Saccharomyces cerevisiae S288C: one gene and its partner. Changing the gene in region 2 together with the main gene of any one other region gives a genetic interaction. Each region holds a gene or a part of one and is shown on either strand. Other genes may lie near its edges.

Evidence for each region. Genes that interact genetically often act in the same process or in processes that back each other up.
Region 1: mutations in POB3 (region 2) and HRP1 together harm fitness more than expected from each alone (negative genetic interaction), as found in Saccharomyces cerevisiae (one large-scale study listed by BioGRID).

What each region holds. Positions count from the first base shown.
Region 1 is NC_001147.6:85,684-89,443, reverse strand, and holds the start of HRP1 (Hrp1p), read right to left. Parts: upstream 1,601-3,760; coding exon 1-1,600. Other genes in the region: TRM11 (tRNA (guanine-N2-)-methyltransferase), read left to right, coding at 2,687-3,760. UniProt on the Saccharomyces cerevisiae protein: RNA-binding protein, which is involved in the polyadenylation-dependent pre-mRNA 3'-end formation and cooperates with the cleavage factor CFIA complex and the cleavage and polyadenylation factor (CPF) complex.
Region 2 is NC_001145.3:133,846-137,605, reverse strand, and holds POB3 (FACT complex subunit POB3), read right to left. Parts: upstream 2,107-3,760; coding exon 448-2,106; downstream 1-447. Other genes in the region: ITT1 (RBR-type E3 ubiquitin transferase), read right to left, coding at 1-56; DAK1 (dihydroxyacetone kinase), read right to left, coding at 2,377-3,760. UniProt on the Saccharomyces cerevisiae protein: Component of the FACT complex, a general chromatin factor that acts to reorganize nucleosomes. The FACT complex is involved in multiple processes that require DNA as a template such as mRNA elongation, DNA replication and DNA repair.

The sequences.
Region 1 (3,760 bases), on a different chromosome or scaffold from region 2:
TATTATATGGATGGTAGCCATTATTACGTCTATTGTATCCACCGCGACCACCACGGCCGTTTCTTCTATGGTTTCCACCACTACGGTGATTGTAATCGCGGTCACGATCGTTACGATCACGATCACCGCGATCACGGTTGTAGCCATAACCGCTATTGTGGTCATCATTGTATTGTGATGGGCCCTTTGGACCATTAGGTAAATTCAATGGCGGTGAACCAGAGTCAGTGTTTGATGTATTACCAATAGTTTGGACGTCATTGGATTTATTATTATCGGAATCAGAAGGTGCTGGGGAACCTTGAGTGGCATTTGAATCTTGCTGTGGTTGGTTTAAAGTCATTGCATTAGGTGGCATGGCAAACCCTGGCATCATCATTGCCATTTGCTGCATTTGTTGTTGGTACATTTGAGTATAATCCATACCAGTTTGCTTTTGCATTTGTTGGTAATATTCTTGCATCTTTTGATAGTAATCTGTCATTGCTTGCGGATTCATCATTGGGTTGTAACCGCCCATCATAGGGTTTTGATACATTTGGTTGAAATCGCCTTGGTTACCGAAGTTACCGCCACGACGATTCATGTTGTTTCCACCATTGTTACCACCATTGTTTGATGATTTTTGTTGCATATGTCTTGGCTCAGCTCTCTTGATTTCGATCTTGCGATCTTTGAAATCGATGAATTTATTCTGACAAACTCTGTCAACGGCGTCAGCGGAGTCATACGTCACAAAACCAAAACCTCTTGATTGACCGGTATCCTTATCTAACATCAGTTGCGCATCGATAATCGTACCCCACTGAGAAAAAAATTCTTCAAATTCCTTTGGTCTCACATCAGGACCAATACCACCAACAAAGATTTTACCGGTTTTATCTTGCTCGTCTCTTGGGATAGCTCTTTTTGGGTCGATAACTTTACCATCGAGGATATGTTGTGTCTTTACCACTTCATCAACACTAGAAGGTTTTTCAAAAGATAAGAAACCGAACCCTCTAGATCTACCTGTTGCAGGGTCTTTCATGATTTTCAAATCAGTGACGGTACCATACTTACCAAAATATTCGCGAAGATTATCTTCCGTAGTGTCCCAATTCAGACCACCAATGAACATCTTGCAACTTTCTTTAGACAAATCCGCTTTCGAACGTTCCTCTTTGGTTTGAGTTACTTGCTGTTGAGGTGGTGATTGAGAAGATGGTTGCTGGAATTGTGACATGGTTTGTTGAAGTTGTTCCCAAGGTAAGCCAGAAGGTCCTGCAGAACTAGCGTTGGCATTGGCATTTGCTGATGTAGCGCTTTCTTGTTTTTTTTCATTCTTAGTGTCTTCATTGGAACCTTCCTTGTCATTCGCAGTGCCATCTTGCTTACTAGAAGATGTGTCTTGGTTACTATTATTACTACTACTGTTGTTACTATTTGGATTATTTAGTTTGTTCAAGCTAGAAGATAATGCTTGTAGTGCGGCTAGTTGATCTAATTGCGAGGTACCACTGCCAGCCTTATTTTGTTCTTCTTCTTTTTTGACTTCTTCAGTAGTGGTAGGCTTATCATCGCCGTAGATGTCGTTGAAATCTTCTTCGTCAGAGCTCATTGCTTATTTAACTTATTCTCTATTTTCTCAGACTTGTGTATACTGCTAAAGTTCTTTATAAATAAAATATTTGCGTCTTTTATGAAAAGATTGTAATATAAACAGTAATATTAATACAGAATAAAAAAGGGCCAATTGTTTGTATTATGCACGCTTTTTCAATTTCTTGTTTATTGAGTATACCTTTTCTGTCCGTATTTTTTCTTTTTGTTTCTTTCGCAAAAAAGGTTAGAAAGAAATCTAGTAAGGTATGAGATTTTAGTTATTAAACACTAAAAAGTAAAAGATACACGTAAAAAATTTATAACAGTATATTGTACTAATACTTGACTATCTGCAAAATTAAATAACTAGTCGAAACTGTTCAATCCTTTGTTTTTAATTACAGTGGCGGAAAGGAGAGAGCGGAAGAAAATTTAAGAGCGCCTGGGCGTGTGGAAAGCATGCGCCTTTTATACTTTTTTTGCTTTGTCCAACAAGAAATCTCGGCGCTGCTCGTAGGGAGGGGCTGCAAGAAAAAAAATAAATAAAAAAAAGAAAGTATTTCCGGGTAAGATTAAAAATGCATTCGATTTAGCCGCCCAGTATTTCGCAAGATCTTCCAAGGTTATAGATGTTTAGAAGAGAAAGAAGTTGGGATCCTTAAGAGCATGTTTCTTTTTCCACGCATCTACATTAGGATTTACTCTTTGTTTTTCAACTTCTGCGCAAGATCTTCAAGAACAAATCGAAGAGATAAAAAAATTGATATTTATAGTCAATAGGTTTTCGATAGCATGACCCTCCGGACTTTTGATGGATAGATAAAGCGAAATTTAGAGGGTTTTTGATCTTCTTCCTTGCAGCAACCTATATTTCTTAGTATTTTGTATATCAATAGCCTCCATAATGTTATCTATAGCTATTAGTACTTTAAGAGACTTTTATTACCCGTATTTTGGATTCTTTTCCGAAGAAAAAAGAAATGTTTACGTTGTGGGAAAAGTGAAAAAAATCGATGATTATGGGCATCGAGGTCTTAATACCCGTAATATGGAGATGAAATAGCATAACTAAACACATTGTATATAAGGTAAAAACGGCAGCATGAAGAAATATCTGCTGTATATGGTACAAGTTCATTTGAACTTTAGAAGAGCAGAACTGGAATCGTTAGCAGACCTATATAATCTTTCCATAGACTTTTCGCAGTACGATGCCAATAGCCCTTTCTTTATTGTAGAGCTGGAAAATGATCAGCAAGCAAAGGATTGGATTAAGAGGTCTATTTTAACCAGAGGTATTTATGAGTATTGGGGGCAGGGTACAACGCTCGATGAGCTGCATAAAGATATTCAGCGTCAGTCTAACTTTGAACAGGATCTGCAATTGAAATTCAAACATTCCACTTTTAAGTTCGAATTCGAATGCTATAAAGGCAACAGTAAAGCTAAGAGGGTAGAGCAGATTGAAACTTTCCGTTACCTTGGCTTTGAAGGAAAGATTGATATGAAACATCCTCAAGAGGTTTTCACTGTTATAGAAGAGTACACACCAATATCGGAAAACGTTGGTGGTAAGACCCCCACCAGGATTTATTTTGGTAGGCAGGTTCAGATGAGCAATAGGAGTGCCATGGAGAAATATGATTTGAAGAAAAGACCTTATAAAGGTACAACTAGCTTCGAAGCAGAATTATCGTTGGTCAGCGCCAATATAGCTCAAGTGAAACCGGGAACTATAATGTACGACCCGTTTGCAGGTACAGGATCCTTTTTGGTAGCTGGTGGGCATTTTGGTTCTTTAGTGATTGGTTCGGATATAGATGGCAGAATGATTCGTGGTAAGGGTGCTCAAGTGAACATTTCGGCCAACTTCAAAAAATATGGCGAGAGTTCTCAATTCCTCGACGTGTTGACCATGGACTTTACAAATAACGCATTAAGAAACAATCTTGTCATTGATACTATTTTGTGTGATCCTCCATATGGTATCAGAGAAAGCATAAAAGTCCTAGGTGCTAAGGATCCAGAAAGATTTCTAGGCAAGGAAGATATGGAAATTGACGGTGAAAAGGCATATTTGCGTCGCGATTATATTCCAACCAAAAAACCGTATGCTCTAGATTCATTACTGGATGATCTTTTACAATACTCTTCCGAAAGATTACCGATTGGCGGA
Region 2 (3,760 bases):
TCTGGGTACATATCTCTTAATATTTCCAAATCATTTTCAAACTGAGTCAAAGCCATTTTACTCCCTGGTCTTTCATCAGTTATATTAGTTTTCTGTAATTCGTTATTCTACACCATGACATAACTTACTGGTGACTAAATGAGAAAAGCAAAGTCCCTTTCTCTTGCTTGTTATTTATTTTTGAACCCTTTACACTATTTGTCTTTTTTTCATCACCCAATCGAAAAGTTGAAAGTATTTTTCAAGCATTGAAAGGGTAGAGGAGATTAACAAAACATAAATATTTTGCAAAACAAAACCAATTTCAAATAAATGTATAGAATAACACCAGTAATTAAGAGGTGGTGTCTTACACTCACCATGTCATGATAATATCAATTGGCAAAATATATTAGTTAGTTTTTACACAATATCAATAAATTTAACTTATACAGTCTAAAATTATTACTATTCTACCTTAGGCTTCTTCGAAGGCCTTTCTTCGTCGCTACCCCCCTCAGCATCACTTAAAGCCGCATCTGAATCAAACTCTTCTGCAACTTCGTCTGCGTCATTATCAGAGCTGACCTGAAAATCCTCATCTACTGATTCATCATCTTCACCAGCGGAACCCATATTAATATCCTCTTCGTCACTGTCTGAACCTAAAGCGGTTTGTAACCTTTCTTGTACCTCTCTATCTTCATTCTTCACCCTTAGGTTTTTAGACTTTAGGAATTGTTCCAATAATTGCTGCTCTTCCTTACTGATGTTGGCAAAAGTGGTAGAACCTCTATTTGAACGCAGTACCACTTCCAAATCAAACGTCCTCGATGACGTAGAAGTTTGTCCTGCTCTTGAAATGTTTACCATGCTAACATCACTGAATGGTATGTACAAAGTTGGCTTAGTTAAAAAGAAGAAAGCGTTATCTAATGGATACAAATAACCTTCGTTTGCTTTGAAAGAACATGAAACTGCACACTGATCATATTTGGATTTATATTCTCCAGGAACAATGACTCTACGGTCAGTCAGACCTTTTAATACATGACTTAAAACTATATGAGTTTTAGCATCATATTGTTTTTTCAATTTATCCTTATAATTTTCCTCATAATCTTCATCTTCTAGATTCAATTGCACTTCTGTTTCCTCATCTTTCTGAAATTGTAAGACAAGAAAGGGGTAGGTGGTCTGTCCTTGACGTAAAGGAGGTTCAATTGCCAAAACCAATAAGTGATGGATATCATCTGCCTTTGGTAACGAAACAATTCTTTGTATTTGACGATGTTGCAATTTGTATTCATAGGTCTTACCCCTGAGTCTAATGGAGTTCTTGTAAATATCGATATCATAACGACCTCTTGGCGTGGTAAAAAAGACGTCTTGGAAGGAAACTATTGCATCACCAGCGACTTCCCCGATGTCTGCCTTTTCCTTTAGTTCTTCATAGAATGCTTCTGCCATACTCTTTTCCTCTACTGCCATTTGTACATCTTCTCCTTCAGCACCATCTTCTTTCTTTGGTACGACCTCGTTGCTTGACTCTTCCTTTTTGGTCATGTTTTCATCGACGTTTGTTTGAATAACACCAGGAATATAGAACCTCATCTCTACCAATTCGTCACCGGCTGGTTGGTACTCTTCATCTTGAATATTAAATTCTATTCCTACTTCATTTTTAGAGGTCAAATTTGTATTATTTATTCTAGCATAAGGAATTTCAAAAGTTGGTTTACCATTTAAAGCAAAAACCATTTCATTCCTGGCAAGGTCTGTCTTACCCCAGTTCCAACCACGTAAGGAATGTTCTCTTTGCTCTACCTGAATATTAAAACGGCGATGGAAATCATTCTTGATTAAGTTATAGTCATCCTGAGAAAATCCATCTAGTTGGATAACACCTTGATTTTTGGTATTTATCTTCAAGTCGTAACCCCTGCAGCCCCTACTCCATTGGACGGTAGATAATTCTGTGGCTGGTAATAAAAATGGTTTTCTTGCCTGATTTGCTGCAGAGCCACCACTGGTACTAATTTTCCACCCTAACCCAGAATCAGCAATACGGAATCTACCGCTAAATTTAGATTGGTTCAAGTAAATTCTATCAAAGTCGGTACTCATAATTCTTGTTCAACAATACTAGATTGTTCCTTCACTTGTTAACGGTATTTCCTTCTTGTTCTTACCACCGATTCAACATCTAGCTACTCTCATACTATGTATATCTCTGACACTCGCGTTAACATTTCACCAGTTTAACGATTCGTTTCGCGTTGAACCGGGTTATACAATCGTTCTTCGCGATGATAATAACAATAACTCCAAGAAAAGTAAGCTTTTTCTATATATATATATCATAAGTATCTTGATATGTATTCGTGAGCCAAGTACTTACAAGGCGCTTTGAACCCCCTTCAAAAACTCACATAGGCCTACTGCACCAGGATCTTCTACTTGAGATGAATCGCCGACATACGAAGCTCTGCCAAATTTGGCCTCGAATGTAGCAGTGGATTTAGCACCTTCCTCTGCAGCTTTTACCGCCTTATTGAAATCCTTAGATGCAGTAAATTCTTTAACGAATGGTTCTAAAGCATCAATCATGGTGGATGATCCCTTCCTTGCCTTTGTATATTTGTATAAAGTATCCAATGCAATTCCGAGTGACTTAGCCACAATTTCCTTAGTGACGGGTTCATCCTTTGATTTACAAACCTGAATTAATCCGTGTGAAAAACCCGACAAAAGAATAGAATATAAACCACCAGAAGTACCTCCCATTGAGCCTTCAATGAAATCTGAAATTTGGGCAACCGCCTGAGATAATGAGTCCTTCGACAGCTTGTCAAGGTTTTCGGTGATGCCTTTAACTCCTGCCACTAAAGTGTAACCACAATCACCATCACCAACTTGATTGTCTAGTTCCGTAATGTGCGGTTCGCTCTTGATAACTTGTTCAGCACCACTCTTCATCCACTCAGCAAACTTGTCAAAGTCATAGGTACCGACGGCCTTTGCTGTTACTTCATTATGTAACAAGTCATCGTTAACAGATGGGGCAGAAGTCTTTTCAAAATCTGCAATTGGCCAGCCCGGTGCGTTCGTAAATGCGTTCAACAAGTCTAGTACTGATTTGATCTCCTCAAAATCAGATTGCAAAGCCTTTGTAGCCTTAGTGGCGTTTAGTAATGTGATACTGAACCCATTACCATTGAAGGAGGTCATCAATGTGCCAGCAATTGTTTGAACCGGGGTTATGTTGTAATTTTCCTTTAAGAAATCCGTAGTTTTGGAAGTGATAGAACTAATAACAAAATTAGAAACACCGCCGAGATTGTTAACTAACAAGACAACTTCATCATCTTCATCAAACTTTACAAAAGCTCTATCCTTATCGTTTGGATCCAATAGTTTTGGTAGCATATACTTGGAGATCAAGTCTTCGGTAGAAGGAATAGGGTCTAAAACTTTCACACCAGGTTCGTTATGAATACCCATACCCAATTCCATTTGTTTTTCGTTTAATTCACTTTCGAATTTCCTGCCAGGAACTTTACAATGGTCTAAAGAAGATCCAATGGTCACCAAATTGTCGTTGATAATTTTAGCCACTTTAGCTGTACCGTCTAAGCCATACTTACTAGAATATTCTTCTGCGAAGGCACCTACAATCTTATGAACCAAAACGGTACCTGCCAATGCTCTTCTACCAACCATACCACCCTTTTCTCTGCCAACTGCAACATCATCACCTATGACAGCAACGCGGCAGTTA